Linked DNA regions of Elephas maximus indicus. The protein of the gene in region 1 purifies or fractionates together with the protein of each later gene. This does not show direct contact. Links are inferred from orthologs where the notes say so. Each region holds a gene or a part of one and is shown on either strand. Other genes may lie near its edges. The genes, in order: NCBP3 and THOC5.

The links.
Region 2: the proteins of NCBP3 (region 1) and THOC5 purify together in Homo sapiens (co-immunoprecipitation; 3 studies listed by BioGRID and IntAct, with this or other methods). This does not show direct contact. The link is inferred for Elephas maximus indicus from reciprocal best matches to the Homo sapiens genes NCBP3 and THOC5.

What each region holds. Positions count from the first base shown.
Region 1 is NC_064837.1:17,350,284-17,365,907, reverse strand, and holds the start of NCBP3 (nuclear cap-binding protein subunit 3), read right to left. Parts: upstream 8,455-15,624; 5' UTR 8,403-8,454; coding exon 8,220-8,402; intron 7,710-8,219; coding exon 7,629-7,709; intron 6,363-7,628; coding exon 6,297-6,362; intron 4,404-6,296; coding exon 4,298-4,403; intron 1-4,297. UniProt on the Homo sapiens protein: Associates with NCBP1/CBP80 to form an alternative cap-binding complex (CBC) which plays a key role in mRNA export. NCBP3 serves as adapter protein linking the capped RNAs (m7GpppG-capped RNA) to NCBP1/CBP80.
Region 2 is NC_064840.1:26,974,036-26,989,659, forward strand, and holds the start of THOC5 (THO complex subunit 5 homolog), read left to right. Parts: upstream 1-5,565; 5' UTR 5,566-5,744; intron 5,745-8,483; 5' UTR 8,484-8,519; coding exon 8,520-8,615; intron 8,616-10,168; coding exon 10,169-10,312; intron 10,313-12,182; coding exon 12,183-12,296; intron 12,297-12,428; coding exon 12,429-12,526; intron 12,527-14,551; coding exon 14,552-14,698; intron 14,699-15,624. Other genes in the region: NIPSNAP1 (protein NipSnap homolog 1), read left to right, coding at 350-444, 1,647-1,730, 3,624-3,688. UniProt on the Homo sapiens protein: Component of the THO subcomplex of the TREX complex which is thought to couple mRNA transcription, processing and nuclear export, and which specifically associates with spliced mRNA and not with unspliced pre-mRNA.

The DNA.
Region 1 (15,624 bases):
TCCATCACCTAAGGGTTATTGTGTGAATAAGGAAAGGACTTAACAGTGTTGTTCTAAGAGCCATTCGGTAACTAAGAAACAAAAATGACTAGAAGGCAATTTCTGTTCAACACAAGGAAATCTCCAAAAACAAAGCAGGCTGACTCATAAATAGTTCTCATGCCATCCATGCGAAGCATTCAGGCAGAGGCCAAAGGACCATTAAGAACTTTGCCAAAAGGCCTGTAGCACTAGGCAGGTGGTTGGCCTAGATGGCCTCTAATGTCCCTTCTAACCGTGAAAGCTCTGATCTTGGGGATAAGAAGACCAAGGCTGCTCAAGTCACTCAAGAGTAGCAAGTCACTCTTAATGCAGAATGTGTCCCTAAACGTTGCTTGAGCGGTTAGGAACAGGCTTCACAAATCCCAGCCTTGCTACTTACCCAGCTGTGGGACCTTGGGCAAACTTCTGAACCTCTCATAACCTTGGTTTCCTCATCAGTAAAATAAAAATAATAAATACCTTCCCCTCACAGCATTGCTGAAAAGATAAGTTAACCACATAGCAGAGTGACTGGTGTACAGTGAGCATTTAACAAACGGTATCTTTTATTATTGTTGTTGTTGTTGCTAATAAGAACAAATCACACCTGGTTTGGCTGCAAAAGTCAAGGTGTTTATTCCAACTTAATTATTCTACCAAGAGACTCAGATGACTGCTTGGAAGATGGAGAATGCCAGATAACAATAATAACAACCAACATTTATTGGGCAGTTACTATATGCCAGGCACCATTCTAAAAACTATAACATTTTGTTAGAGCCTCCCAACAATCCTACAAGAACTTGCCCAAGGTCACAGAGCTAGGAAGTGACAGGTCAGGATTTGAATTCAGGCAGTTAGGTTTCAGAAGCCATGCTCTTAACCCCAACACCAATGGTTCTCAATCCTGGCCGCACATTAGAACGACCTGGGGAAATATAAAAACGGTATCTCCAAGCCCTATCCAACCCCTCCTATTCTGATTTCAACTGATCTGGGATGGGTAGCAATATTTCTTTTAAAGTTTCCCAGGGCTCAGGTACACTATCCTAGGCCACGCTGTCCCCTGGATGAAGAACAGGTTGTAATGCAGACACTGCCCCAGTTGCCATTCCCAGGCAGAGCTACTGCCTGTTCTAGGAATTTCTTCAGAACTATGAAATCAAGGTTGCTTTAAAACAAACAAATAAAAATAAATTAAAATTTAACCCAAATAGGGTTAGAAGCTGGCGAAATGGACACGAAAAGAGAGAGTGGAGGGAGAGAGCGGGCTGTCTCATTAGGGGGAGAGTAATTGGGAGTGTGTAGCAAGGTGTATATGGGTTTTTGTGTGATAGACTGACTTGATTTGTAAACTTTCACTTAAAAAAGCACAATAAAAATAATTTAAAAAAATTTAACCCAAATAGCAATCCTATTCAGGTAGGTATGATATTCCCATTTTACAGACAACGAGACTGAGACACATTGTTATAAGCTGCCTCAAGTCAGTTCTGACTCATAGTAACCCTATGTACAACAGAACGAAAAACTGCCCGGTCCCGTGCCACCCTCACAATTAGTGCCCACTGTTGTAGCCACCTTGTCAATCCATCTCCTTGAGCGTCTTCCTTTTTCACTGACCCTCTACTTTACCAAACATGATGTCCTCCTTCAGGGACTGGTCTTTCCTGATAACATGTCCAAAGTATGTGAGACAAAGTCTTGCCATCCTTGCTTCTAAGGAGCATTTTGGCTATACTTCTTCCGAGACAGATTTGTTTGTTCTGGCAGCCCATGGTATATTTAATGTTCTTGACCAACACAATAATTCAAAGGCATCAATCTTTCTTTGATCTTTATTCATTGTCCAACTTTGACATGCACACAAGGTGACTGAAAATACCATGGCTCGGGTGAGGCGCACCTTAGTCCTTAAAGTGACATCTTTGCTTTTTAACACTTTAAAGAGGTCTTCTGCAGCAGATTTTCCTGATGCAATGCTTTGTTTAATTTCCTGACTGCAGCTTTCGTGGGCGTTGGTCATGGGTCCGAGTAAAATGAAATCCTTCACAACTTCAATCTTTTCTCCATTTTCGTGATATTGCTTATTGGTCCAGTTGTGAGAATTTTTGTTTTCTTTATGTTGAGGTATAATCCATGCTGAAGGCACTTAACAGACAAGGAGACTGAGACCTAAAAAGTTCAATAACTTGTCCACGGTAACAACGAACTACAACCAGGTTCCGCAAGGGCCTGGCACTCTAAAGAGCTCCAACACAGGTGGAAAGGAATTTCCAGTGGGTAACTAGGGATGCTTCATGGGGAAGTAACATCTGAAGCAGCTGATGAAGGCATGACTGAGACCAGGGGCAAGACAGCACAAGGAATGTTCAGGACTAAAAGTACAGAGGCATGGTCAAACTATGCTGCTTTCAAGGCTGACTTGTGAGAGAGGACTCAGAAAGGTCTCCTTCAGCCCAGACCACACAGGCTGACAAATGGCAAGCTGCAATCTGTCCCTGGCCTTCACAGGACTTTTCCTAAAACAGAAATCCATTCAACCAGAAGCCTGGGACCTCAGCCTATGGAGGGAAGCAAGGTCCTATTTCCAGCTTGAACTAATGATGTATGAAAAAGTAGAAGCAACTTCCAAAGTTGAGCTCTGCATCCAAGTTACTCTGGTTACTCAGATGGACGACGGGGGGGGCGGGGGGGGCATGGTTTGGGTCTATCATATCATATATTATAAAACAATAGAGCAAAGTAGTTAAGATCAAGGCTTTAGGGTCAGATAAACCTAGGTTCAAATCCTGACTCCACCTTTACTTCACATGACCTTGGGCAATTTATTAAACTTCTCTGAGCCTATTTCCTTCCTTGTAAAACACGAATAAAAAATATATCCCTCATAGAGTTGTTGTGAGAAATGAATAAGTATATGTACAACATGCTTAACATCCCGTTTACCTGCTGCCGCCAAGTCAATTTCGACTTATAGCGACCCTGTGGGTCAGAGGAGAGCTGCCCCACAAGGTTTCCAAGGAGCAGCTGGTGGATTCGAATTGTCGACCTTTTAGTTAGCAGCTGAGCTCTTAACTGCTACGCCACCAGGGCTCCATGTTTAACACCCAAAAAAAACCTGGTAAAAGTGGTCCCCAACAAATGGTAGCTATTCATTCAACATGTTCCTGCAGCTTTTGTTCCTACCAATCAAGCAAGCCTAAAGAAACTCTCACAGCAGAGCACAGACCTTAACGTGCATCTCAGATCTGCCTATTAAGCCTTTCAAAAATACCCAAACTTGCAAATACAACGGAGACCTTTCTCATGAATGGATTTATATTAGAATGGAATAATAAATACGGCTGGAGACTCACTCAAAAACTAATGATACAAGACTAAATGGGCAACACCTGCCCAAAAGCAAGATGAGAAGGCAGGAAGGGACACGAAAACCAGACAAATGGAATCAGAAAACCCGGGGTGGAAAGGGGGAGAGTGCTGACACATTGCAGGGATTACAACCAATGTCACAAAACAATTCATGTATAAATTTCCAAAGGAGAAACTAATTCGCTCGGTAAACTTTTACCTAAAGCACAATTTAAAAAACTAATTATAATTTTCCCTTTTATTTATAAATTGCTTTGGAAGACTGTAACATATACATGTATATATACACATACGGACACTTGTATATGTATACGTGTATACATACATACACACATACACACACACGTTAGAGATCTAAGGAGCGCAATACTTTCTCTAACAAAAAATAATATAAAATCACAAGCCAAATGGTAGCACTATAAAACCTACGGCGAGATTCATTTAGCTTTCTCTGACGACAGGATGTTACTGTGTGGTTTACATTTGTCACACATTCATATAATCAACAGAAGTATTAATGGCTTTCCCCATCCCAATATTCCTCTAACTCCCCTAAAACAAGGTCTGTGAGATACACCTTCACTACACTTAAAGGCAAAGAAGTTAGTGCTCCTTTGATAAAAGCAGGAGTAAGGATCTGTAAAAGCTCCGCCACTAACTGTGTGACATTCTCTGCACCTACTCAGACAATATCATCTCCTTTTTTCCGGTTCTAACATCTCAGATGCAGCTAACATCTCAATTTTAAACAGTAGCCTCAGAAATAGAGACTAAACAAGTCTCTCCCTTTGGGCGTATTTGGATGAATATCATACATGCAAAGCAAGGCCAGAAGCATGAGGTGATGCCAGGGAAGTCACTCTGGGGAAATGTGGGAAAATTCCCCTAATACTTCCTGTACCTTTCTTCATCATGTCTCGGTCCAAGGCCACATTTCTTTGGGCAAGATTTACTTCTGATCGAAAATGGAACCGCTTGGCTCGCTGTTCTTTCTTTTCAATGGCTTCCTAGAAAGACAGAAAAAGTCAAAGTAGTGAAACATGAAGGAGGAAAGTCAAATCACAAACCCAACATGACGTATCCGTGATAATCCTAAAGTCAATAAGAAGAAAAGGACAACACTGTACCTGGAATAATCTTCCAGAGAATTGGATATTCACATTCAATACGTGGGACGGGGTGCGCTAATATCACTATAATTTGACAAGAAACTCCAAGATGATTTAGTACCTATCAGTGCGCCTGGGACGTAGTAAGAACTCATAAATATCCATTGACTGAATGAGTAGTGCTTTAGAGCTTATGAAGTCCTCTGACAATTTATTTATTATTAACAATCCTGAGAATAAATTACAACAATCTCAACATCCCAATTTTCCATGTGCAAAAACTGAGGCACAAAAAAGTAAAAAGGTCTGCTGCAAGTACTTCAGCTAGCGAGGGGCAGATCTGAATCCAGTGCTATTTCTAGAAGCCCCACCACCGCCAGCGCCACCAGTTCACATCCTCTGTATGCATGGTAGTCACACCTATCGCACTCTTCCACACAGTAAGTCTGCCTGAGCAGTCCACCCCCTAAAGCTATTTTCCTGTTTAGAAATAACACCAACACCAAGAATCCCTCCTCCATTCTAGCCTCGCTTCTGTGGAATTGCCAGTTTTCATCTTTAAGTGACAAGAAGCATTGGAGCTTCCCTGAAAAACAAAATAATCAGCTTCGTTAAGTTTTTTCTAAGAGCTAAAATAAATCCAGGTGCAACTGTGGGTTCCTTTCTGATGGCCCTTAGGGACCCTTCACTAATTGTATATTTATGGACTTTGACACACTAATTAAAGGTCTGACTATAGAAAGCTTATGGGGATTGGTAAAGCAGCAACACCTCTGTTATTCCCCAATAGTTACACTAATTTTCTTCACTGACGTTTTCCCAGTGCAAACAACTTATCTACCTTCCTCTGGTAACAACTTAAGTACCAATTCTGGGGCTACCACCCTTTCTCTCATATAGCTGTTCCATATAATGGCAAACTATGTAGGATTAAGAACAGTATAGACTATAATTTTTTCAATTACAGTAAGAATAAGAAAACATTTCACTTTATTCCATTTTCTTGCTTGTCTAAAGGATGACTAATTCTCTTTCGGTCTTTAAGCCGAAAGATAAAATATTAAAAAGAAAGCATGACATATTTAATTTTTATTTTTGCTTTTATACATCCAATATAGTATTGTTATTTAGAACTGCTATTCATAATTCTGTTCCAAATTTAACAGCACACGTTAAAATCACAAATGGTATCTAAACTAGATAAAACCGATCAAAGTGACAAATTCATACGGATTGCTTATAAGGAAAACAATAGGTCTGGCTCTATGCAACAGTGCAATGAAGCTGGTAATCTAGTTAACAGCAATCGCTAGTTAAAAGGCAATACTCTCAGGTACTGGGAATAATTTTGTTGACTTGGCCTTCAAAGTTCAGATAGCCACGCAATCAGTAAGCCCTATTTTTCTAAGCCTACAACCTATGAGGAATAAAGGCATTTACTAAGGGCCTACTATGTGCCAGGCACTTTTCACTTAAAATGGCCACAAGCACACATTTTGAAAGAATGGACACGCAGCATTAAAAAAGCACTCCTAGCACAGAATTTCTTCTTGGAAATGGTTAAGCACAGGCATCTAGGTATAGTAGTTTTATCTTTTTGGGGATGTAATGTTGCCTGGATGTTTTTGGGGGATGCATGAGGGCTGCCTTGTGTAACATGCAATTAAGAACAAACGTAATCCAGCAACAAGAAAAAAAAGGAAGTAAAGAATAATACTCTCGCATTATGTTGAGGGACCAAGTTCCCAAGACACTTATCAAACTGAATAAACCGATCATGGTCTGTTTTACCTTGGAAGTAACATCGATTCCAGTGATGAAGCTGCCAGCCTTGTTTTCGTATCTTCTACTTGTGTCCTAACACAAAGAGGAACAGTGAGAAGTGCTGACAGCAACTGAAGAAAAACTCATGATAAAAGGCAGCCTGACAAGTGATTCCCCTTGGATAGTCATTCTTTTCAGCAACACTTCCCCCATCCCCGACAACTCCTTATTATGAGAAAGCCTGTCCCAGGGACTCTAAGAAGTCCCTTCTAGATCAGAGCCCACCCAAAACCTGAAGTAATCCCATCAACTGAAGATATCCATGTAAATGTGAATCTGAAGGCTTTGGAGAAAATGTCAAAGATGAGGTGCAGTCATGTCTTATCGCCCCAACCCAGACTGGACAAACTCCCCAGGCTAGGCCACTAGATGGAGCACAAGTCTACCAAAATGCAGAGAGTCCAGGCTCTCCTAGAGTTCAAGGGGAAAACACAGCACAGTACAATGAAAAGAAGATGGGATTTGGACACAGAGGATTAAAAGACAATCCTTTTATCTCTGTGGGTCTCAGTTTCTCCTATGGTATCTGCCTACCTTCCTGACCTTTTTTACTACTGTTCCACTTGTGCTACAGAACTTTCCATTTCTCCAACAAAACAATCTTGTTCCCATCTCAGAACTTTTGCATTTGCTGTTCCCGCTACTGGCCACACTCCCTTCTGTACCTGCACATTGTTGGCTCCTTTTTGTCATCTAGGGTTGGACTTGAACGTCACTACCTCAGAGGTCTTCCCTGACCATCCTATCACATTCTGCTTCTGCACGCCCTCCCTACTCCCTGCACTCTCTATCCTGTGTTTTATTTTCTTCAAACACATCCCAGTATCAGGAATTATTTGTTCATTAGTTTATTATCTGTGTCCCCCAACTAGAATATAAACTCCAGGAGGGAGACTTATCTTGATCTAGTGCCTAGGACACGGCCTGGCACATAATGAGGGGTGCAACAGATACTGAACTGAATGAACAAAAGAACGATAATACCTACTTCACAGGTGCAATGATATTTAAACAGCATAATGCAGTAAACGGTAAAGTGCCATTATGTTTATTATCATCGGCCATTTCTAGTAAGCCTACCTTAACCTTTTCTCACGACTTCAGTTTAAAGCAAGACTTGCTGACGTGGTGAAAAGTATTTTATGGCAGGTGAGAATTTAAGGATATGAGAGGACCATCCAGGCCGGAGACCAGTTGTCTGAAAACCGCACCGTACGACCACCAAACCACAAGCAAAACACCTCTCCCCATCCCCCTTGTGATAAAAGAGGGGCCGAGAAAGATGACTGGTGCACCTACTCTGGTTTCATTAGAGGTCAGATGCTGGGGCAACGGTGTAGGTCCTGTACCGCAGTGGAGCTGCGCCGAGGCAAGATGACCCTCAAGCCACAACAGAAAACACCGTGAGTTTCTGCTGCTGACAAAGCCAGTGCTCCCCAGAGAGACCGCGAGTGCCAGGTTTAAAACACCAACTACACTAAAGCAAGACCCACAAGGAGACCTGGACGCCAGGGCCACCCAACACTTCCTTCTGGGCCGCCCCTGGTTCTGTTCCCGCCCCGGGTGTCCCCATTATCTCAAACCCGGCGGCTCCTCGCTCACTCCCTTCCACAAACAGGTTCAGGGAAGCAGCGTAGGGTGTCCTCAACTACCCCCCAGCTCTCCCGCCGGTCCTCCAGCCCCCTCACCACCCGTTTCCGGGCTCCCAGCATCCTTTCTCTCTCTCCCCTTCCTCAAGCCTGGCCCCCCGCCCCCCGGGCGCCCGCGCCCCTCTCCTCCTCACCCCCAACTTCCCCCGGCCCGGGCGCCAGCCACCTCCCCTTCCGGCCCCCTCGAGCGCGGGGCACTCCCTCCGCGACCTCCTCTCCGACCCCCGCCCCCCGCCCGTACCGGGATCAGCTCCTTCAGCGAGCGCCGCACCGGCACGATCTCCAGCTCGCCCTCCTCCACCTCCATAGGCTCTGGTTCGCCGCGCTCCAGGCCAGGCTCGGCCTCTGGCGAAGGGAGCCCCAGGGCCGGCCCTGCCGGGGCCTCCGCCTTCACCGACACTCGCAGGCCCCGTACGGCCGCCATCGCCGCCCGCCGGCCGCACCACTGAGAGCCCGCTCCGCACACCCGGCGGCTAGAGCGCCGCCACAACTGGCCACAGAGGAGCCGCTGCCGCTACCCAGAGTGTCACCCGGTTAGTGCAGAAGGTGGTCCTCAGCTCCGTCGCTCCCTGGTGGTTGGAGGAACCACCACCAGCTGGGGCGGGACCTGGTGAGGAGGAGGAGGGACTGAGTGGGGATGGGGCAGGGCCTGCTGGTGGGGGCGGGGCTTGAAGGAGACCCGTGCAGTCTGGGCTTAGAAAACAGCTAGCCCTTGAGTAAACCTGTGATAAAACCTAGTTTTACTGAGCCAGGAGCTCTGGCGGTGCAGTGGTTAAGAGCTCGGCTGCTAACTGGGTAGTTGGAATCCCCCAGCCGCTCCTTAGAAACCCTTATGGGGCAGTTCTACCCTGTTCTATAGGATCACTATGAGTGGGAATCTACTTAACCCCAATGGGTTTGGTTTTTGGTTTTACTAAGCAAGAGCCTTGATGGCACAGTGGTTAAAAGTGCTTGGCTGCCAACCGAAACGTTGATGGTTCGAACCCACCAGCATAGGAGAAAGATGTGGCAGTCTGCTTCTGTAAAGATTACAGCCTCAGAAACCTTGTGGGGCGGTTCTACTCTGTCCTATAGGGTCGTTGTGAAGCAGGCAGTCATGAAAGTGTTATTAAGGGTTATATTAGCCATCCCATAGTAGTTGTATTTCAGAAAAGTTTACTCTTGCTACATTTTTGTTACAAATTTTACAGCACTTCACCATGATTGGTTGAATCCCGGGTTTCTTCTCTTCTCCTGGCAGAAGGCCAAGGCGTAGGTGCACTAACTCCAAATTTACCTGCTGTATGACCTTCCTTCAGTGGCAGTAGGGAACCATCACCATTTTTTTAGGGCTGTGCACAATATTTTTAGAGCCGTGGGCCAAAACTCATTCACAAAAATTATGCAGACTGCCCACGCATCACAAGACTGAGGACCCTCCCCACACTGTTCACGCATATGTATGTCACTCCCTATAAAAGGGGCAAATCTGCCCTGGTTCAGGGAGCTGGCAGTCTTAGGTCACGAGACCCTGCCTGCCTCCCGGTTTGCAAACCGAATAAACCTTTCTGTTCTTCCACCCTTGTGTCTGGCTGACTTCAACTCGCTAGTCTGCTTAACAAGAACCTATTAGTTGAGGGCTTCATCTGGCACCCCAGATGGGACGCAGTGGAGACTCTGGCTCAGGGTAAATTAGGTCCTGAAACCTCCTCCAGAGGGCACCCTTGACGCTCCATTGGGTCAGGAGGACTTTCTGGGCCGCACCAGCCCCAGACCAGACAACCCACAAGTCCCCCACTGGAGAAGAGAAACATTCTGACAGTGCCATGAAACAGGTACCTATTTTAAGTTTCATTTTGGAGGAGCTACTAGGTGGTTGGTCGTGTCCTCAGTAACGGGTGTTATTAGGCCTTGTGGTGATCTCCCTGTGTCCTGGGGCTGAGTCCCCACCTGCATGAGGGCACAGGTCTCCATCTGGTCTTTTGTCTCAACCCCTGCATTTTTTTTTTTTTTTGGCCAGGATCTTGTTATAGGATCTGGTTAAGGAATATTGTCCCTGTGTCTTGGGCCCCCCCCCGCCCCCGTTTGTCTCATGTTCTAGCTCGGAAGTCTCCCTGCGCAGGATGGTTTTATGTCTATCTCTCTTATGAGGAGTGTACTGAAACATCCTTTCTAATTTTAGATACTGAGTCTCGTATAAGACAGTAACTCAGTTGGAGCAAAGTACGGTCCTTACAAATATTGGCTGTGGAAGGTGTGGTACTTGAATTGCTCCACCTGAGATTATGTATCAGGGTAACCGAGTTCCGCGCCTCCGTATAGTCAGGGCCTCTCGAATACATCCTTCCCCTGGCCTACTGATTAGAAGCGATAAGATCTATAAACAAGATGGCTGCCGGTCAGTCCACCCCTAAACCATCCCCCTTAGAGTGCATCTTGACCCACTGGGATTTTTTTAAAACTGGTGACACCAGGACGAAGCATTCGAGGTTCCTCTGTGGCACAGCTTGGCCTCAATATAACTTAGAAGGTCAGGAGAAGTGGCTGGCCAAGGTAAGTTTGCACTATAATACCATATTGCAGTTAGATTTGTAAGAAAACGCGTAAGTAGGATGAGATACCTTATGTTCAAGTGTTCATGACTCTGTGTTATAATCAGGGATTACAATAGCAAAGCAGATTGATGGTTCAGGTTAATCAGAAGTCTAAACAAATTCTCGAGAGAGAAGAGTCCAAGCTTGTAGTGGGACTGTCACCCCCATGTAATCTTATTTACCATCAGATTTCCCAAGTGGTTCCTGCTGACCCCAGCCCCGGGGCCTCGGGAGCGGCCTGCATTGATCCTGGGACCCCAGGAACAGGAATGGTCTTCCCACCTCACACCCACAGTGGTGCTACATTTGGCCAAGGCCAGTCCATTTCCTCCAGAGTGTTGACAAGGAGCGTGATCCAGAAGTGGTCCAATTCCCTTTAAGGGAGGCACCGGCTGGGACAGGAGTAGACAGGAGAATTAGGAACACTTTGACGCATGTCCCCTTCACCGCTTCAGATTTGTTTAACTAGAAAAATAATTTCCCAACACAGCATCTGGATCCTCAAAAGATCCATGACATATTTTCATCCATCTTTAATACCCATCAGCCCACCTGGGCAGACTGCCAGTCTCTGGTGGAAGTTCTTCTCTCTTCTGAAGAGAGGAGAATGGTTTTGGAAAAGGCTAGACAATTCGCTGATAAAGAACATAATGAAGACCCCCAAAATCCTGACAAACTGCCAGCCAAGAACACAGTCCCTGGAGTTGATCCAAAGTGGGATTACAATTCGAAGGAAGGCATGAGTAGGCTGAGGCATTATAGAAAGTGCTTACTAGAAGGGTACAAAACTGGGGTACAAAAACAGAAAAACCTCTCAAAAATTTATGAAGTAATTCAGGAACCCTAAACAAAACCCTTCTGAGTTTCTTGAAAGAATTTTCCAGGCCTTCCAGAGACACACTGATACGGATCTGGCAGCTAGTGAGAATCAACAAATGGTTAATACCATCTTCACAGTACAAAGCTCTACAGATATACAAAAAACCAGAAATTGGATGGAGGGCCAGGTTTGCCTACCTCTCAATTCGTTGAAACAGCCTTTAAAGTTTTTAATAACAGGGACCAGGAACAAGAGCAGAAGGAGACTCTCTGAGCAAGACAAGAGGCTACCCTGCTGGTGGCAGCCTTAACTGGGAAACCATTCCCCTCACCATATCAACCAGCATCAAGAGAAGGGAAAAAAACCTGCCAGGGGGAACTTTGGCCCCCTGAAAAGGAACCAATGTGCCTTACTGTCATAAAGAGGGACACTGGAAAAATGAGTGCCCTGAACAAGGCTGGCCGGCCAAGTATGTGGTGAGTGACCTCCAACCGGGAAGGGGCCTGGGACTTCCCACAGACTGGCTCCAAGAGGGACAGACTGTCACTATCTCCCCTGAACAACCCAGGGTTAACCTAACAATAGAGGGGAGGCCAGTTCAATTCCTCTTAGACACATGGACCACCCACTCGGCTTTAAATGATCCCCTTACCTTACCCTTGAGCGCCAAAAGGACTCCAACTGTTGGTGTGTCAAGAAAAGTAAATTATAAGAACTTTTTTAAGTCAGCTATATGCACAACTGGGAACTCCAGTCTCATCAATTCCTGTACATACTAGAATGCCTGACCACCTTATTGGAACAGGATTTGCTGTCCAAATTAGGGGCCAGTATCTCCTTTCATGGAAACCCTGGTGGTGTAGTGGTTAAGTGCTACGGCTGCTAACCAAAGTGTCGGCAGTTTGAATCCGCCAGGCGTTCCTTGGAAACTCTGTGGAGTAGTTCTACCCTGTCCTATAGGGTTGCTATGAGTCGGAATCTACTCGACAGCACTGGGTTTGGTTTGTTTTGGTTTATCTCCTTTCATGGGACTGAAAACCCGGTTATCCAAATCCAGGCTCCAGCCTAGGAGGGCTGGTGGTTACAAGCCGTTCTCCTGCCCCAGAGATTAGAAGACTCCTCCCAAATACTGGAACACATCCTACAAGTAGTACACCCCATTGTATGGGCTAGTGGAGAGCCTGGAAGAGCAGTGTCTGCAGCCCCAGTGGTAATCGAACTAAGGGAAGGGATTGGAACTCCCAATCTAAAGCAGTATCCCATGAGAAGAGAGGCTCAAGAGGGACTTGAGAAACTGGTAACCCAATTCTTGAAAATGGGAATGCTTTGACCATGCCAGTCAGAATACAACACACCCATCCTGCCAGTAAAGAAATCCAACAGAGAATACAGGATGGTACGGGACCTGAGAGCCATCAACCAAATCGTAAGTGATATCCACTCAATGTCCCGAACCCCCATACCTCGCTAGCTGTAGTACCTGGAGACTGTAACTACTTCTCCGTGCTTGATTTAAAAGGTGCATTTTTCTTCATCCCCATTGCAGAAATCTCAGCCACTGTTCACCTTAGAGTGGGAAGACTACAACACAGGACACAAGTCCCAATTAACTTGGACTGTAATTCTCTGGGAATTTAAAAACAGCACAGCCGTCTTTGGGGAAGCACTCAGTCAGGATTTCCAGGGCCTCAAATTAGAGGAGGGTGTCCTGCTCCAATATGTTAATGATCTTCTCATCGCCAGTGAAGGGCGAAAGGCCTCTGACCAAAATACCATTAAGATTTTCAATCTCCTGGCCCAGTTGGGATACAAAGTCTGGAAGGAAAAAGCCCAGATATCCCAGCTACAGGTCCGATATTTGGGATTCCTCATATCACAAGGAACTTAAACCCCACCTCCTGCATGCAAGGAGGCCATTTGTGCCACTCAAAAACCATCAAACAGATGGGAGCTCAGAGGGTTTTTAGGCATGGCTGGGTTTTGTAGAATATGGATCCCAAACTTTGTACTGATAGCAAAACACCTTTACGAAGCTATGAAAGGGGGAGATGGAGACCCATTCATTTGGTCTCCTAGCTATCGACAGGCCTTTAAGGAAATAAAGGCTGCTTTATTAAAGGCCCCTGCTTTAGGCCTCCCTGACTTGGAAAAGCCTTTTCATCTTTACACCCATGAATGCAAAAGGATACCCCTGGGAGTCTTTACCCAGAGCCTGAGACCTCACCAGAGACTCATAGGATACTTCCCCAAGCAACTGGATTTGCCCACACAAGGATGGCCTCCTTGCCTAAGGGCAGTAGCAGCTTCCTGCAAACTAATACTAAAAGGCCGAAAAACTGTCTTTAGGCCAGCCTCTGAGTGTGCACACCTCTCACACCGTGATTGCCCTTCTGGAACAAAAAGGAGGGCTATGGCTGACCGCCGGCCTACTAGGTAAATACCAAGCCATCCTACTAGACAACCCAGCTGTAACTCTGGTCACTGGAACCCAGCTCAACCCAGCCACCCTATTGCCAATCCCCGAAAATCCTCCTCTAATACATGATTGTTTGCAGACAATAGAAGAAACATACTCCAGCCGACCAGACCTTTGAGACACTCCTTTCGAGGAAGGTCTTCAATGGTATGTTGATGGGAGTAGCTTCATAGAAGAAGGAAAGAGGAGGGCTGAATATGCTGTTGTTTCCCTTGAACCCCCAGGTTGTCGAAGCCGAAACCCTGCCTGTAGGGACCTCTGCCCAAAAGGCTGAGCTTGTTGCTCTAACCCGAGCCCTAACCTTGGGAGAAGGTAAGACCGTGACAGTCTTAACTGATTCTCATTACGTCCTTTGGATAGCCCATGCACATGCAGCAATATGGAAAGAGAGGGGCGTTTTAACATCAGCAAATAAGGAGATGAAATGTGGGGAACAGATTTTGGCACTGTTGAAAGCCGTTCAGATGCCTCAACAGGTAGCAGTAGTTCACTGTAAGGGACACCAAATGAAAAACACTCCTGAGGCGAGGGCTAATGCCCTGGCTGACTTCACAGCAAAACGAGCAGCTAGAAGGACATCCCAGACTGAAGAACCACCGTCAGCAGAGGGCCTGATCATTCAGCATCCTTAGGAACACTTTAATCCAGCATACACAGAGAAGGATCATGAGTTAATAAAAGATTGGGGATTTTCACCAGACCCCAACCAGTCACACGAGTGGTATAAAAACTGCAGAAATTATGTGCTTATCACGACTCACAGCATGGAACATTTTGAGGGCCTTACACAAAGCCACCCACTGGGGACAGGAGGCCACAGCCAGATGAATTAAGAGGCACTTTGCAGGGAAAAATCTCCTTCAGAGTATAAAAAGGATTCAAAGACAATGCCATACTTGCATCCAGAATAACCCTAAAAACTGGCTTCTTCTGCCTCCTGGTGTCTAGTTTACAGGGAAGGGTCTAGCTGAAGACTGCCAAGTAGATTTTACAACCATGACTAAAGCAGCTGGGAACCTTAGGTACCTCTTAGTATTTGTAGACACTTTCTCCAACTGGATAGAGGCATTTTCAACTCGGATGGAAAAAGCTTTTGAAGTATCTAAGGCTCTGTTAGAACAAATTGTTCCAAGGTTTGGCCTGTCCATCACCCTTCAATCAGACAATGGGCCAGCTTTTGTCTCTGAAATAACTCAGCAGGTATCAAAGGCACTCAACATAACTTGGGGACTACATGCTGCCTGGAGACCACAGTTTTCTGGAAAGGTAGAAAAAATGAGTCATACCCTGAAGAAAACGATAGCAAAAATATGTCAAGAAACTGGACTAAAATGGATAAAGGCCCTATCACTGGCTCTCTTGAGGATTCGGATAGCCCCTAGAAGCAGGTTTAATTTAAGCCCTTATGAAATGATGTATGAGAGACCCTTCCAAATAGACCATGCTCAGTTTCCTAACAGTGAAGTAGATCCTAAAGGTCAGATTAGGACTTTTCTCTCACAAATTCAAGCCTTCTTAACTGAAATAAAAGACTGCACAGCCTGGAGGCTGCCAGACCCACCTAACGGGCCCTTACACCACTTCTTAGCAGGAGATCGGGCTTTGTTAAAACATTGGAAGGAGGATCAAGACCTCCAGCCGATATGGAAGAGATCCTATTTGGTGTTATTAACCACATATTCTTCTCTGAAACTTGAAGGAATAAGGCCATGGGTCTGCTATTCCCGAGTAAAACCAACAGCCGCCCCAGCAAATCCTAGTACCAGAGAACCAGACA
Region 2 (15,624 bases), on another chromosome or scaffold:
ACCCATCCTGCCTCAGCCAAGGGCCCTAGTAGGCCACCTTACCCAGGACCATATCATAGGAAACCCAGGATTCTCTGCCCCTCCTGGACCTGGGAGAAGGATGTCCAAGGAGGAGGTGAGGATCTCCTGGAGGATTGTGAGGCCTTCCCTGGGAGAACACACAGCCAGTGGCTGCCCCTCTGTCACCCCATTTTCTGAATCATCTCTGCCAGCTGGTGGCCATATCTCCCTGTGAGGTGTGGCTGAGGCATCAGCTTGGGCACACTTCAGGGAGCCCTTTGCACAGGCGGAATTCCCAGGCCTCCCCCAGAGTCCTGGCTTCTGCCCAGCACTCTTCTGCCATCCCCAGGGCCCGGGCCATCAAGTACCGGCAAGAGAACCAGGAGGCAGTGGGCGGCTTCTACTCGCAGATAGGAGAGCTCTACGTTGTGCACCATCTCTGGGGTAGGCTGGGGACCCTCTGGGAGCCCATGCTAGTCCCTGCTCTGCCATCAACACTCTGTGTGGACAGTGGGGATATACCAGTGCCCTCACGGAGCTGACATTCTAGCAGAGGGGAGACCACCTCAGATGTGAACTAAAAAGAAAGATCATTTCAGATTATTACAAATGCCTTGCAGAAAAGAAACAGGGAGATGTGATGGAAGAAAACATAGAGGACCTACCTTGACTGGGGTAGACAGAGGCAGCCTCTCTGAGGGGGTAAAATGTAAAAACAGCTAACGAATAAGAAGGAGCCAGTGGTGAATTGCTGGGGGAAGGGCATTCCAAGAGGAGGGAACAGCACGTGCAAAGGCCCTGCAGTGGGGAAAGGTCTTCAGGGTTTTGAGGCGGGGGAGGGAGGTCAATGTAGAGAGTGTGAGGAGATGGGGTAGGAGAGGGGGAGAGGCGCAGATCAGGCTGGGCCTCAGAGACCATGAGGTGATGGAATTTTCTTCTAAACGCAACAGGAAGCTGCTGGAGCATTTTAAGCAGTAGCAACACAATTGGATTTATGTTGTAATATGATTCCTCTGGCTGCCGTGTGGTTGGTGGTTTGTAGGGGAGCAAGAGAGGAAGTGGGCTATCAGGAGACAGTAAGACTAGTGCAGGTGAGAGAGGATGATGGCCTGGCCTAAGGTGGTGGCAGTGAGCATGATGAGAGGCCACAGATTCATTTTCTGGAGGTAGAACCAGTGGGACTTGTGGATGAATTGGCTGTATGGGGTGAGGGAGGGAGAAGAAGATTCCAGAAGAACTCCCAGGCTGCTGTTTGAGCCGCTGGGTGAATACTGCTGTCACTTAATGAGATGGGGAGATCTAGGGGAGGAATGGATTAGAGGGTCAGGGGTGTAACTGGCCCTCGGAAGTATCCCGTTTGAGACACTGGCACATCCAAATGGAGACATCAAGTGGGCACTGGATACATGAGTCTGGAGCTCGCAGGAAAGGTCAGAGCTGGAAGTATAAATTCGGGAGTTGTCCGCATAATCAGCATATGTACTAGCTGGATGAGACTATCAAAGGAGACAGGGTTTGCTAACAGTCCAGGGCATGTGGGAGGAGGAGGTGGCAGGGCAGGGTTTGGGGCAGTAGGAGGAAGGCCCATGCTGGATACAGGATCAAATCCTATGTGCCCAGGGAATAAGCATATGCGTCTCCCACAGCCTATAAAGACCTGCAGTCTCGGAACGAGACTCGAAATGCTGCCTGGAGGAAGACGGGCTGGGACGAGAATGTCTACTACACAGGTGAGCGCCACCTCTGGGAGTCAGTGGGGCCCTTGGTCCTTTGCCAGGAGCCCTGTCTGAGGATGGAATCCATTCTGCGTGGAGGTCTAGCCTTGCTTGATTACCTCCAGTGATGAGGAACATGAAGTTAGTGAGCTTCTATCCTGGTGGCACGTTCTGTGTGATCCAGGCAGTTATGAGTGCTCTGGGGGACGATAAGGTAGCCCAGAGGTCCCTGCCTCAGAGATGTGGAGTAGCTGAGCACACACCTTGGACTTGGCTTTTCACCTTGCTGAGGCTGTTTCTTCCCCTCTAAGATGGTGATGGAGATAGTGCCTCCCTGAGAGCTATAGGGAGAATTCCTTGAGGTAATCTATAAAAAGTGCTTTGGCCAGAGGCTGGCCCAGAGGAAGCACGCCACAAATGTGGCCTGTTGTTTTTGCTCAAGGAGTTTGCCACTTTATTGGTAACCCCTGAGAACCACCTGGAATCAGTAGGTGTTGATAGAGCCCTCACCCCGGGCCAGGGACTGTTGTGGGTAGGTGGGTGGAGAACACAGAACTGAACAAGAGCCTGTCCCTGCCCCTTGAGGAGCTTAGGGTTAAGCTTACAGATGCCATCTGGTGTGAGGAGAGAATGTGCTTGCTGAAGGAGTCAGCGGGAGCCTGGCTGCTCAAAGTGTCCCAACGGACAGTTTTGGCATCCCCTGGAAGCTTGTTAGAGATGCAGAATCTCAGGCCCTCCCAGACCTACTGACTCAGAATTTGTACTTTAACAAGAGCCTTGTGACCTTAGACATGGCTGGTGACTTGCATGCATGTTTAAGTGTGAGAAGCCCTGAGGAGGTAGAAAAGAAGTCTGACTTCCTGGGTGACCTTGGGCTGTTCGTGACCCTCTCTGGGCTGCAATTTTCCCATCTGTTAAATGAGGCAGTTGGACAAAATCAGCGTTTTTCAAACCTCAGCCACTCGAGGACACCCTCACAGCTTGCCCTATCAGCATACTCTCGCCACAATTATTTTCTTGATATTTTTCCTTAAAATATCTTTCTTTCTTCTTAACCTGGAGCCCTGGTCGCACAATGGTTAAGAGCTTGGCTGCTAACCAAAAGGTCAGCAGTTTGAGTCCACCTTGGACACCCAGAGAGCAGTTAGCAGTTCTACTCTGTGCAATATAGTCACTGTGAGTTGGAATCAACGCGACAGCGACAGGTTTGGGTTTTTTTTGGCTCTTAACCTAGCCTTGGAAACCCTGGTGGCGTAGTGGTTAAGTGCTATGGCTGCTAACCAAAGGGTCGGCAGTTCGAATCTGCCAGGTGCTCCTTGGAAACTCTATGGGGCAGTTCTACTCTGCCGTATAGGGTAGCTATGAGTCGGAATCGACTTGCTGGCGCTGGGTTTGGCTTGGTTTTGGTAACCTAGCCTTTTGTTTGTTTTTCAAAAATTTTTTCACAATTTTATCTGTGAAATCACTTTTCACTATGCTAGTTATTTTTTCGTATACACAGGAAAATAAATACATAATTGTTAAAATTTTAAAATGTTCATCTCATTACTACCTAAAAAAAACTAGCAGTTGCTGTCGAGTGGATTCCAACCCAGAGTGACTCCGTGTGTGTCAGGATGGAACTACTCCATAGGGTTTTCAATGGTTGATTTTTCAGAGTGAGACTGCCAGGTCGGTCTTCCGAGGTGCTTCTGGGTAGCCTTGAACGTCCAACCTTTTGGTTAGCAGCCAAGTGCTTTAACCTTTTGTACCACCCAGGACTCTGTTACCACCTAAGTCCCCTCTTATCCCACAATGTTGGGAACCTGGTCCTCTCTCTGGGCCCTTCCAGGAGGACATTCAGAGCCTTCTCCTCCTCCAATGGCTAGTGGGGGTAGGCGCTCACGACCTCTGCCTCTGTCTCCGCAGTCCCGTTGGTGCGACACATGGAGTGTCGGGTCATGATCCCCTTGAAGATCTCACCTCTGCAGTGATGTTGCCTCCACATCCTTGCCTTTCTCCCTCAGGTCCTGGTTCTGCTCACATCGTTTCTTCTCAGATCTGCAGGGGTCTAGGGGGCAGTGCTCAGCTCAGGCAAGGGGGTGCTGAAGGATGATAAGGTCTGAGATTTGCAGCTGTGCCCAGACCCTGCCTGCCTTCCCCGGCCTCTTCCTTCCCTTCCTGCTGGAAAGTTTCTTGTTTCACTGACAGAAGAATAGCAGCCTTTTATGTCTTCCCACATCTTCTCCTAAGATTCCTCAGCTTAAAGCCCTAGCCCTTAGTTATCACCACAGAAATTCCCAACTGCACTTTAGTTGCCCAAAAGGTAGTGTGTCCAGTGGTTAGTAGTGGGGTGGGAAGAGAGGTGGTTGGCACTGTGCCAGGTCCTCAGGAGCTCCCTGGCCTCCACTGGGCCAGACAGTCTGAGTCAAGTCCCTCCTGCTGGGGACAAGCCTGGAACTGCCAAAAACTCTCATATCAGCAGGATCAGGAGGAAGTCAGCACATTCCATGGGGGGGTGGCGGGGAGGATGGGCTGGGAGAAGGGACGGGGGATGGGAAAGATTTCGAGGCAGGAGACGGAACATGGGATCAGGGAACCCAGAAAGCAGACCCAGGTTTGAATTGCAGAATTTGGAATCCAGAATTAGGAAGATAGAATAGAGATGACTGAAGACCACTTGGGGAGGGATTCTAATACAAGACAGACGAGGAGAAATTCATTTGTTTTTCCCTAAGTAATGGGGTTGAGACCTTGAATGTGTAGTTCCAGTGTCTCCCACCCTCTTCCCTGCTTCAGGCAAAGGGACAAAAGCAGGGCCTGTGTTTCCCCCACTGGCATTCCTTTTTCCCCACTCCACATTCCATTAGCCCAACAACCCTCATTTTACTGGGACACCGGGAGTATAGAATGGGGTCAGTCATTCTGGGTGCCTCCTCCATGAACCTCATACCTCATGAACCCCTTGCTTGCTTGATTGTGCCTCCCATCCAGAAAAAGTTGTACTGGAGTTGCTGATGGAACCAATTAAATATTTACTGTAAACCTCATGTGTCTTTTTTTTCTATCTGTAAGGACCTATGGCAAATGCCCAAGGCAAGGCAGAGCTGGCTAACTTCCAAGTCCCACCTAGCTGATCTTTCCCCCTTAAGGGCTTTGTGTTCCCTTAGCCACTATCAGGTGGGGGGCCATTTTCAGCCTCACCCAGGGGTAGGAGAAAGAAATGGCCATGTACTGATTCAGGACATGGGCGTTTCTAGCCCCAGATAAGTAGGATTTTACATTAAAAATTCAGGATATTTCATGCCAGGGCTAGGAATCACTTGAAGCTGTCAAATACTGCGTTAGAGCTGTGACTATCCTAGGTAAATTGGCCCTAAAAATGGGGAAACTAGTGATGTACCTGTGAAAAAACAAGTGTAAAATGGGGCTAATGCCTTCGCTGTGTGCCTTGGGGCCCTGAATGTGACAGCATGTTTTGAAGGCAAATCCACTGGGGTCTAAATCTTAGCACTACCTCGTTCTAGTGTGATCTTCAGCGTAACAACTTTATTCACTCAACAGACACTTGCGAAGCACCCACTACTTGCTGGGCACCACTTTTAGGCCCTGGGGAGAGTGCACGAAGCCCGGAAGTTTTTGCCGTAACGGCTCCAGTTTCCCAGTCTTAGAGGAAAGCGTTGGGGTGGGGAGGTGTTGGCCCGCTGAGAGCCTCGCTGACAACCGAGGCGCAACCACCTTCCGCTGCTGCCCAGCTCAGACGTTGTCAGCGCTACACGCCGGCGGTCGCTGGGAGGCTCTGGGCTTCGCTTCCGGCTTCCACGCCTCGCTTCCGGCCGGCCGTTCCTTCCTTCCGTTTCTCTATGGTCACCGCCGGAAGTGGCTCGTTACCGGGGGCAGGTTCGCGACACCGTGAGGTGTGGAGGAAGCCGGGTCGGCAGGGCGCGCGCGGAGCGGAGGGCGGAGCCACGTGTTCCCGAACAGAAACGTCGCTGGTCCGAAGGGCTCCGCGGGGCTGGTGTGACCCGGGCTCTCCACCCTCCCCACTAGGTACCTCGCGCTTAGTTTCCGCATCTGTAAATGTTCGCTGCATGATTCTCAGAGTCCATGTTGTAGCCTAATGGTGTTTGTTGTTGTCAGATGCCGTCGAGTCGGTTCCAGCTCATAGCGACCTTTTGTACCACAGAACGAAACACTGCCCGGCCCTGCGCCATCCTTAAAATCGTTGTTACGCTTGAGTCTATTGTTGCAGCCATTGTGTCAGTCCATCTCTTTGAGGGTCTTTCTCTTTTTCGGTGATCCTTTGCTTTACCAAGCATGATATCCTTCTCCGGGGACTGAACCCTCCTGACAACATGTCCGAAATATGTAAGACGCAGTCTCGCCATCCCTGCTTCTAAGGATTGTACGGGTTGTACTTTTTCCAAGACAGATTTGTTCATTCTTTTGGCAGTCCATACATAGTATATTCAATGATGATTAAGACGGTGATAAATACGTTCACTGCAGGCTCCTCAGGGCCCTGGTAGTGACGACGACGGTGATGGAGGTAACAGTTCGCATTTGTTGAGCACTCATACAAAAAAAAAAATTTTTTTTCATACCTGTAGGGCACATTTTACCAGTGTTGTCAAAGTCGGGATTCAGCCTTTTGGGTGTGGGTGTCACCTTTTGGGGTTTTGTCAAAACAACTTATCATCCATAGATTCCTTACTACAGTTTTAGTTGAGTCTTTTTTAAAACTTAAATTTATTTTAAAAGGAGACTTTGCTACTATAAATTAAAACTGCTCTCACTTGTTGTATGTGGATGGTAATGCTAAAACCTGATGTATGAAAGCAGATCACTGTTAATAAGCTCTGACTAGATTTTGCTGTCTAAGGTTCCTGAAAAGAGCCCTTTATTCACAAGTGAATATTAGCATTCATAGATGTTAAAGACAAACTAGGTGAACTTAGATGTTTTCCATGAAGTAATTGGAATGTTTGAAAAACAATTGAAAAGGGATTAACTTTCTCCCTAGGTGTTTAGCCTTGTTTAAGATCACCCATTCACCATTTAAAATCACATCTCCAGCCCCAGCTCATCTTCAGCTCCAGTACCCCCTTAAGGAAGGCACTGTTATTCTCATTTGAAAACCCAAGGCAAGTTAAATGTTTAGCACTTAACTTTGGTAGCCATAAACTAATAGAGTGGAGATGCCAACTCAGAACTTTCTGACTGACTTATTGGCTCCCTCAGTAAGTGTTGGTAACAGATGTGTTGGGACAGGGACAGTGCTACTGATCTTGGGGCTGTGGAGATGACCAGAAGTGGCTGAAGTAAGGATGCTTTGTGATCCTAGAGCCCCATGAAATGTAGGGTCATTCTCTTAAATTTCAGGGTCAACCAGGGAATTAATGGCATCACTAGATGAGGATGGTGGCAAGACTAGGGAGAACAATAATGTGTCATTGAACGGACCCAAGCTTTGTAACCTTGGGCAAGTCATTCACTTTTCTGAGCCTCCATTTTCTCATCTGTAAAATGGGGATAATATTAGTTCTTATCTCAAGCGTTTATTGTGAGGATCAAATTAGAACATACCCAGAAAGTGCTTAGATCAAGATTCAGCATACAGTAATCAATCAGTAGTATTGGGGATGGGTTAATATACCAAGCTGAGGAGTTTGGATGCCAATTTAGCCAGCTTTTATAGAACACTTTGCCAGGCTCATGGGAGAGAAGGCAGAGCTCATAGTCCAGGTGGGGAAGACAGGTAAATGGTTCAAAGGGGTAAACTATCTAATAAACCATACCAAACCTTTTGCCATCAAGTCGATTCCAACTCATAGTGACCTTATAGGACAGAGTAGAACTGCCCCATATGGTTTCCAAGGAGTGCCTGGTGGATTTGAACTGCAGACCTTTGATTAGCAGTTAACCACTATGCCACCAGGGTTTCCAATTACTTAATGGTGTGTCTAGAGAACTCAAAGGAGGGAAGGCCTTCGGGAGGTCTAGTAGTAGGCTTCCTAGAGCAAGTGAGCATTGTTTTGTCTTGAAGGATACAGAGGTGGAAAGGAAAACGGTTACTGCAGGCAAGGGAAAGAATGTGGAGTGTATTGGGAATCAGGAATGGTGTGTGTACTTACACCTGGAAGTAGAGATCTGAGGGGGATGAGGAATAGGAATGAAAGAAATGTGGTTGGGATATTGGGTTGGGGACAGACCATGAAGTGTCTTTATACCAGGTCAGCAAATATGGACTTCATATGGTGCATTGTGAAGGGCTAGCAAAGGTTTTGAAACAGAGAAACATCAAGTTGGTTTTTTTTAAAGAAAGAATTTAGACCACAGTGTTGGACAAGACAGGAGGCTGTTACAGTGGTTCCGGAGAGGAATACAGAGGGCCTGACCTAGAGTGTTGAGATGAAGAAGATAACATGATGCCTGGGATCACTGGGTAAACACCTGAATGAAGGGACACTTCTGTAGAGAGAGTGTGAGCAGGTTGTGGATATAGGGGAGGGAATGATTGAAGTTGATTTTGAGGTCAGTTTGGACAGTAGGATGGGTCATTGTGCATTTAAAGAAGGTGGAGGTGGAGAAGATGAGTTCATTTTGGACAGGATGAGGGATGCTTCTCTTGTTTTACAGATGAGGAAACAGGCTTTGGAGAGTTAAGTAACTTTTCTTGAGTTACCAAGTCTGTGAGTGGCAGACTGCTAGTTAGACTTCAATTTTCTGACTTAAGAAAAATCTTCAATCCGATTCCAGAAAATCTCACAAGCTTTCTCCCCTTAACAGTTCTCTACTGTTTCTACCTGACCTTGCTGAACAACCATGTCATCAGAATCAAGCAAAAAACGGAAGCCCAAAGTGATCCGAAGTGATGGAGCCCCAGCTGAAGGGAAGCGAAATAGATCTGATACTGAGCAGGTAAGATCAACCAGGGTTCCTGTGCCACTGAGAAATTGCAGCTTGTGGCCAAGACCCCAGCTGTGGGTTTGGGGGCAGTTCAGGGTTGCCCTTAGCCGGTGACAACTTCCCAGGTGGCCTCTGCTTGGCCGAACCGAACCGGTTGCTGTCGAGTCGATTCTGACTCATAGCGACCCTAAAGGACAGAGTAGAACTGCCCCATAGGGCTTCCAAGGAGCACCTGGTGGATTCGAACTGCTGACCTTTTGGTTAGCAGCCATAGCTCTTAACCACCACGCCACCAGGGTTTCCCTCTGCTTGGCCAGGGGACTGAAATTCCCTTGGCACTACAAAACCTGAAGTGTCTACATCAGCTTTAGGTGCAGCATTCCAAGAACTGAATAACAAGCCTATATTAGACACGATTAACAACTGAACAAGGAGCCCTGTTGTTGTAGGGTTAAGCACTCAGCTGTTAACTAAAAGATTGGTGGTTCGAACGCACCCAGTGGCTTCACAGGAGAAGGACCTGGCGATCTGCTCCTGTAGAGATCACAGCCAAAAATACCCTCTGGGGCAGTTCTACTCTGTCACATGGGGTCGCTGTGAGTTAGAATTGTCCCAGCATAACCCGACAACAACAACAGTGCCTGAACAGAGAACGTATTTCAGTACAGTGTGTGTGTCTGGTTTTCCTGATGGTCCGAAGAAGACAGTCCACCTACAGCACACCACTGGGGCTTCAGAGATGTTACGTACCTGGGTTTGCTACTGAGAGTACCAGAATCATCTGCCCACAGAACCTGTTCTCTGATCTGAGAGCCCGTGTCATCGGGCTCTTCTCTGTCTTAGGATCTGTCAAGCTAACTTAGGATTTTAGCTGTTTTGATTGGGTGTTTGTTTCGTTTTTAACTAGAGCAGGGAAATATACCAGCATACATTTAAATAAAAAGTGGTGCTTTCCTCAGATTTAGGAAATTAAGCTTAAATGCAGAGCCTTATCCTTTTTAGCCGTTGATTCTGGCTCTTGCTTAAGGCTCATGTACTCTGTTTGTGAAGGCTGGGAGATATTTCAGCCTCTGCTAAAACTTGATTTGACAACCTAAGCACCCATCAGTAGGAATTTGTTTAGATGAATTCTGGCTTAACAATATCATGTAGCTATTTTGGGGGAAATTTGTATTTATTGGGATGGAAAATCATAGTAACCAGCATAGACAATATGATCCCATTGTGCTTAAAAATAAAATGTATATTTAGCTCACAATGTTAATAATAGAGTTGTTTCAGGCTACGAGGTTACAGGGAATTTTTCATTTTCTTTTTGATGCTCCTCTGAGTTCTGAATCTTTGACACCAAGCATGCATTAGCTTTGTAATCAGAAAGGATAAAAAAGTTCCCGTTCTGAAAAGAAGAAAAACATTTGACTTGAGGACCAGATCCTTTGGAGATCTGATTTGGGGCTTCATAGTTACTGTTCTTATGTAACAAGCGATATCAGCTAACTGTCTCTGGTCCTGACAGAGAGACTCTCACCCCGCCCCACCCAGGACCTCTCTCCTTGTCTCCACAGGAAGGTAAATACTACAGTGAGGAGGCGGAGGTGGACCTGCGGGACCCTGGCAGAGACTATGAGCTGTACAAGTACACGTGCCAGGAGCTACAGAGGCTCATGGCTGAGATCCAGGACCTGAAGAGCAGGGGAGGCAAGGACATGGTAAGGAGTGGGACTGGGTGGCCATGAACCTGGTGGGTCTGCATAGATGGAACTAGACGTTGTCGGCTCAAGAAGTTTTTATAGTCACCAGGGCCCGCCTCATCTTGCTCTTCTGTACTGGCCATAATCAGGTGGTTGGAGCCCTGAGGCTCCAGAGACCTACCTATTGTTGAAATGTCTTATCACCACCCAATTACCAATTATCGTAATGAAAGCACAGAGTTATTTATTTTTTCCCATAAATATAATCTGATAATTCATCCAACTAATATTTATTAACTGCCAGGCTTTTTGCTACGTGTTGAGAAATGATGGTAGATATAAATTTCCTCGATGTTTTAAGAATACCAAACCGAAAAAATGTGTTGTCATCAAGTCGATTCCGACTCAGGGCGACCCTATAGGACAGAGTAGAACTGCCTCACAGGGTTTCCAAAGCCGTAATCTTTACGGAAGCAGGCTGCTGCATCTTTCTCGTGTGGAGTGATTAGTGGGTTCGAATCGGTGAGCTTGTGGTTAGCAGCTGAGTGCTTAACCACTGTGTCACCAGGGATTCTCATTATAAGAATTGATACATACAGATAAACAACAGACCAAAAATGAAATTGTTGTTAAATGGCTTTAAGGGCAGAGAAAAAAACTGTGGCTAAAAACCAGATGGATAAGTTTTAAAATGATGAATCCGGTTGTTTTCCAGGAATCTCACTAATTTGTGCTCATGCTGTCCAATACTGTGAAGGTTATCACATCGAATCTGTTTTATCGTAGCCAACCTGTGGCACTCTCATTGTTATTGTCATTTAAATTATTCTCTAATGCCATTTACAGGCATCAAATTTTATTCATGATGTCATTGTTGTTAGGATTTCTATACAAAATCCCCAGGGACAGTTTTTTGTTTTTTTTGTGTGAAAATATACACAACAAAATGCACACCACTGCAACAATTTCTTTGTGTGTAATTCAGTGACGTTGGTGACATTCTTCAAGCTGTGCCATCTTTCTTGACAACCTTTTCCAAACTGTTTTACTATCATTAACACAAACTCACCACCCTCCTAAAGTTCTCACATATCCTTTCAAGTTGCTGTTGTCAATTTGATGACATGTAGATAATTCTTTAAAAGAGTATAATGCAAACATTCTTTTCTAATTAGGCTAAATTATTTGGTTCAAAGATGACTTTAGGGGACAGTTTCAATTCAAGGTTTAAAGATTTCCTCAGGGTAATGGTTTTGCTGCATCATTTGGCCTCAGTGGCTCCAGAAAATCAGGATTCCATGAGAATTTGAAATTCTATTCCTCATTTCCCCCCTTTTGATCAGGGTTCTCTGTAGAATTCTTTATCTAAATGCTCATCAGTGGTAGCTGGTTACTATCCAGTTCTTCTGGTCTCATATCAAAGGAGACAGTTGTTCACGGAGGCAGTTGGACACAAATTCCGTTTCCTCCACTGATTCCTGACTCTCCTTCTTTCTCTGATGTTCCCAGCAAATAGAGACCAATTGTACCTTAGGTGGCTGCATGCAAGCTTTTAAGAACCGAGGCACTACTAGGAACTAGGAGGTAGAACAGATGCACCAAAACCAATCTTAGGCCAATTGACTAGAATGTCTAGAGGCAGGTATTAATTGTGTATTGACTGTACTTGCTCCATATTCGATTCTTGTTAGTTTAGTCCAAGCAGAAATTGCTTTTTTACTTAGGAACCTTATCCAGTCATTCTTCCATTTCCCTCTGACATTTCTCATGTTTCTGAGCTCCCTCCAGTGTCTGTTTTTGCCCCTGCGTGGGTCAGCAGTGAGGGAATAAAGCAGGCTGGCCCCAGCACCTGTTGCCAGAGGTCTTGCCCGGTTTTCTCTGCCCACAGGCAGTTGAGATCGAAGAACGGCGGATCCAGAGCTGTGTACATTTCATGACTCTCAAGAAGCTTAACCGGTTAGCTCACATCAGGTTGAAGAAAGGAAGAGATCAGACCCACGAGGTAGGAGTTGAGAGGTTTGACTGTCCTCCTGCCCTTCGTCTACCCTTTTCTTTGTCCATTTTACCCCTTCCCTGGGTTTGCTGCCCTATTTCTGACTTGCCCTCCTTACCTCTGACCTTGTCCTCTTTTCAGGCGAAGCAGAAAGTAGATGCCTATCACCTGCAGTTGCAGAACCTGTTGTATGAGGTGATGCACCTTCAGAAGGAAATCACCAAATGCCTGGAATTTAAGTGAGTTTGGGAGGACAGGGCTTTGGCACAGATGGTCTGTTGGTAAACTGAGTTTTGCTTAGTGTCAGCCGGCCTCTTTAAAAAGAAATCTGATGAGCTTGAAAGACTGAAGAATCTGGAAGAAAGACAAATAAAAATCAGAAGCAATTGTTTTAGGCTGGACAGATGACCTCAGAAGCCTGTTTGACTCTTTGGCTTTTTGAGCTCTGTACCTGATAAAAGCAGTTCTCTCTCCCCAGCAGGGACTTTACCTTACCAGTTTGATTTCCTAGCATGCTGTACGGGGACAGCTCACTTCCAGTCATAGCCTTTTAACCTTTTGACTGAGTTTTCCTCTCTAAAGTCCCAGCAGTTCATTTTTACAACTGCAGTTTATTCTTTAGAACCTCACCTTTTTGCTGCTTCGCTGCCTTCAGGTGAACAAACTACAGTTTGTCAGCGTCCCTCTTAAAATGTGATGCCTCTTGGAGAAAAGCTGATACTACAGAGATGAGAAGGAGGGAGGAGGATTCAGGGGAAGGGAAGGGGAATGGTTCCTTCTTGAGCAGACCTGTTTGTGCAAACTGAAAGGAGTCAGGCTTATTTTGTAATAAATTTGGGATAATGGGGGCCGTGTTAGGTTGGGTTCAGCTTGTTTTCCGTAACGACGACAGTGATTTTTGAGAGGCATGTTCATCTCCTCCACAATGTATCGCCTAATAGATACTTAAATACTAAAAGAAGTAAAATCAGAACAAGGTCTGTACCTGAGTTAGTACTGTCTTGCCAGTGTCAGTTTCCTGGTTTTAATAGTGTCCTGTGGTTTATAAGAGACTTTCATTGGGGGAACCTGGAAAAGGGCATATGGAAACTCTGTACTATTTTTGCAATTTCTTGTGAGTCAAATGATTTCAACTTAAAGAGTTGTAAAAATAAATAAAAAGAATGGGATGCCCAGACCTGTACCCATTGCTTCAGTTGGAAGCTAACAGATCCAGAATACCATGGACATGGGGCCAGTGGCAAGGCAGGTGACCACGTGGAAGGGGCGTGGGCCCTGGAGTCAGAGAGCCTGGCTTCAAATCCCAGCTCTGTCACTCACTCGCTTCTGTCACCTTGGGCAAGTGGCCCAGCCTCTCGAAGCCTGTGTCTCATTTGAAAAACAGAGACAAAAATCCCTGCCTCACGGAGTTGTGAGAATTAAATGAGGTGACGACAGCACGTTGTTGTGTGCTGTCGAGCTGATTCCGACTCATAGTGACCCTATAGGACAGAGTAGAACTGCCCCATAGGGCTTCCTAGGCCAAAATCTTTACGGGAGCAGATCACCAGGCCTTTTCTCTAGAGGAGGCTCTGATGGGTTTGAACTGCCAGTCTTTAAATTAGCAGCTGAGTGGTTAACCATTGCACCACCAGGGCTCCGAGGACCGCATATACTGTGCTTAATAGCTGCTGCTGTTATTACTGTCGTTTGATCCAACCTGAGCACTCTACTATGTTAATGCAGCTAAGATGATTGTTTTTTTTTTTCTTTTATAATCATGTGTCACTATGGATACAACAGTGAAAGCCTCCGGATCTTTTTCACATCTGTTTCTGCCATGATGGGTCTTCCCCATCCCATGCTTATACAGTTAATGTTTTGAACTTAAGTGCAGACTTTTATGTTTATTCCTGTTAAATCTCTTGGTTTCATCCTTACAGTCTAGGCCTAGGTTGTAGTGTTTTTATTTGACTCTCTTGGCTTATCAGCTCTCCTGCTTAGCTTGGAGATGTCTGTAACTTTGATGAGGACTCCTTCCAGGTCCTTAGCTAATTCACGGAAGGTTGGACAGCATGGGTAAGAATCCTGTGGCACGTTCCCAGCTTCCACCCTTCATGCAGAAACATCCACTCGTGAGCATTTGTTGAGGAGACTGAATTCTAGGATCCCGGGTAGTTGTAGGTCAGGGCCGAGTGGGGATAAACGGAGGGCACCATGGTCTCACTTAAGCCACAGTTTGAGTTCCTGAGAACGGCAGCTTGACAACTGGTTTTTGCCTGCAGGTCAAAGCATGAAGAAATTGATCTGGTCAGTTTAGAGGAGTTTTATAAGGAGGCTCCTCCAGTTATCAGCAAGCCTGAAGTCACCATGGGAGATCCTCACCAGCAAACCCTTGCACGTCTGGACTGGGAGCTGGAGCAGCGGAAAAGGTAGTATTTCTCCTTCCTGGCCTTGGCAACCTGTGGACGCATAATCATGGCAGGAGAGTACTTTATCATGACCCAGGATCAAAGGGCAAAGCACCGTGGGACCAGCAGGATAGTCGGAAGACTGAGTCCCATGTTGTGATCTGGTTCAGACTTGACCAACCTTATCAAGGGTGGGACTGAAATTGCTTACAGCTGTTAACAGAAAGTTGAATAACTTTTTTCCTTTAAAATCTTAATGTCTGAGACCTAAATTCTTTTGTACCATAAATCTAATTTTGTGTTGGGGATATAAGCATATCCCTGAGGAATTATAAAGTTTTGCAAACATTATTTTAGAAGATGATAGGTACTCCATTGCATAGATAAATTGTAATTCACATAATCATTCATTGTCCTATTGGATTTTTTGGTTGTTTTTGGTTTTTTGCCATCATAAATCTTCAAGGCAAGGTTTTATATATAAGACTTTCTTTACTAACTGTAGTAGAATGTCTATAGTATGTAATTTAACCTAGATTTTTCTAAGAATATAGTATATAATATAGTGTATAGTGTAGTTTTTTTTTTTTTTTCTCATACTGGACTTTTCATGATTGCATTTGTTCCATTTATACTGACTTTCCCCTTTCATTTTCGTACAAGAATTTCAGGGCTTTTAGTGACATGTCTGCTCTGTTTTACATTGGAGGAGCAGCTGTTTTTATACCTTGCCTTATTCTGTTAGAGAATGTATTCTGTGCTTTTGGTCCGTGTTATGAATTAAATAAGCATTGAGTCTAGTTCTTAGGGAATTGGTGTTAGTTTTTTAGCAGATGGTGTTGGCCTGTCTCTCCCCTATCCAGTCCAACACTTGCCCTTGGCACAGGCTGAGCTGTGAGTGTCACATCTCAGTGGCCCTGGACTGGTATATATGCCCGCCCCACCTC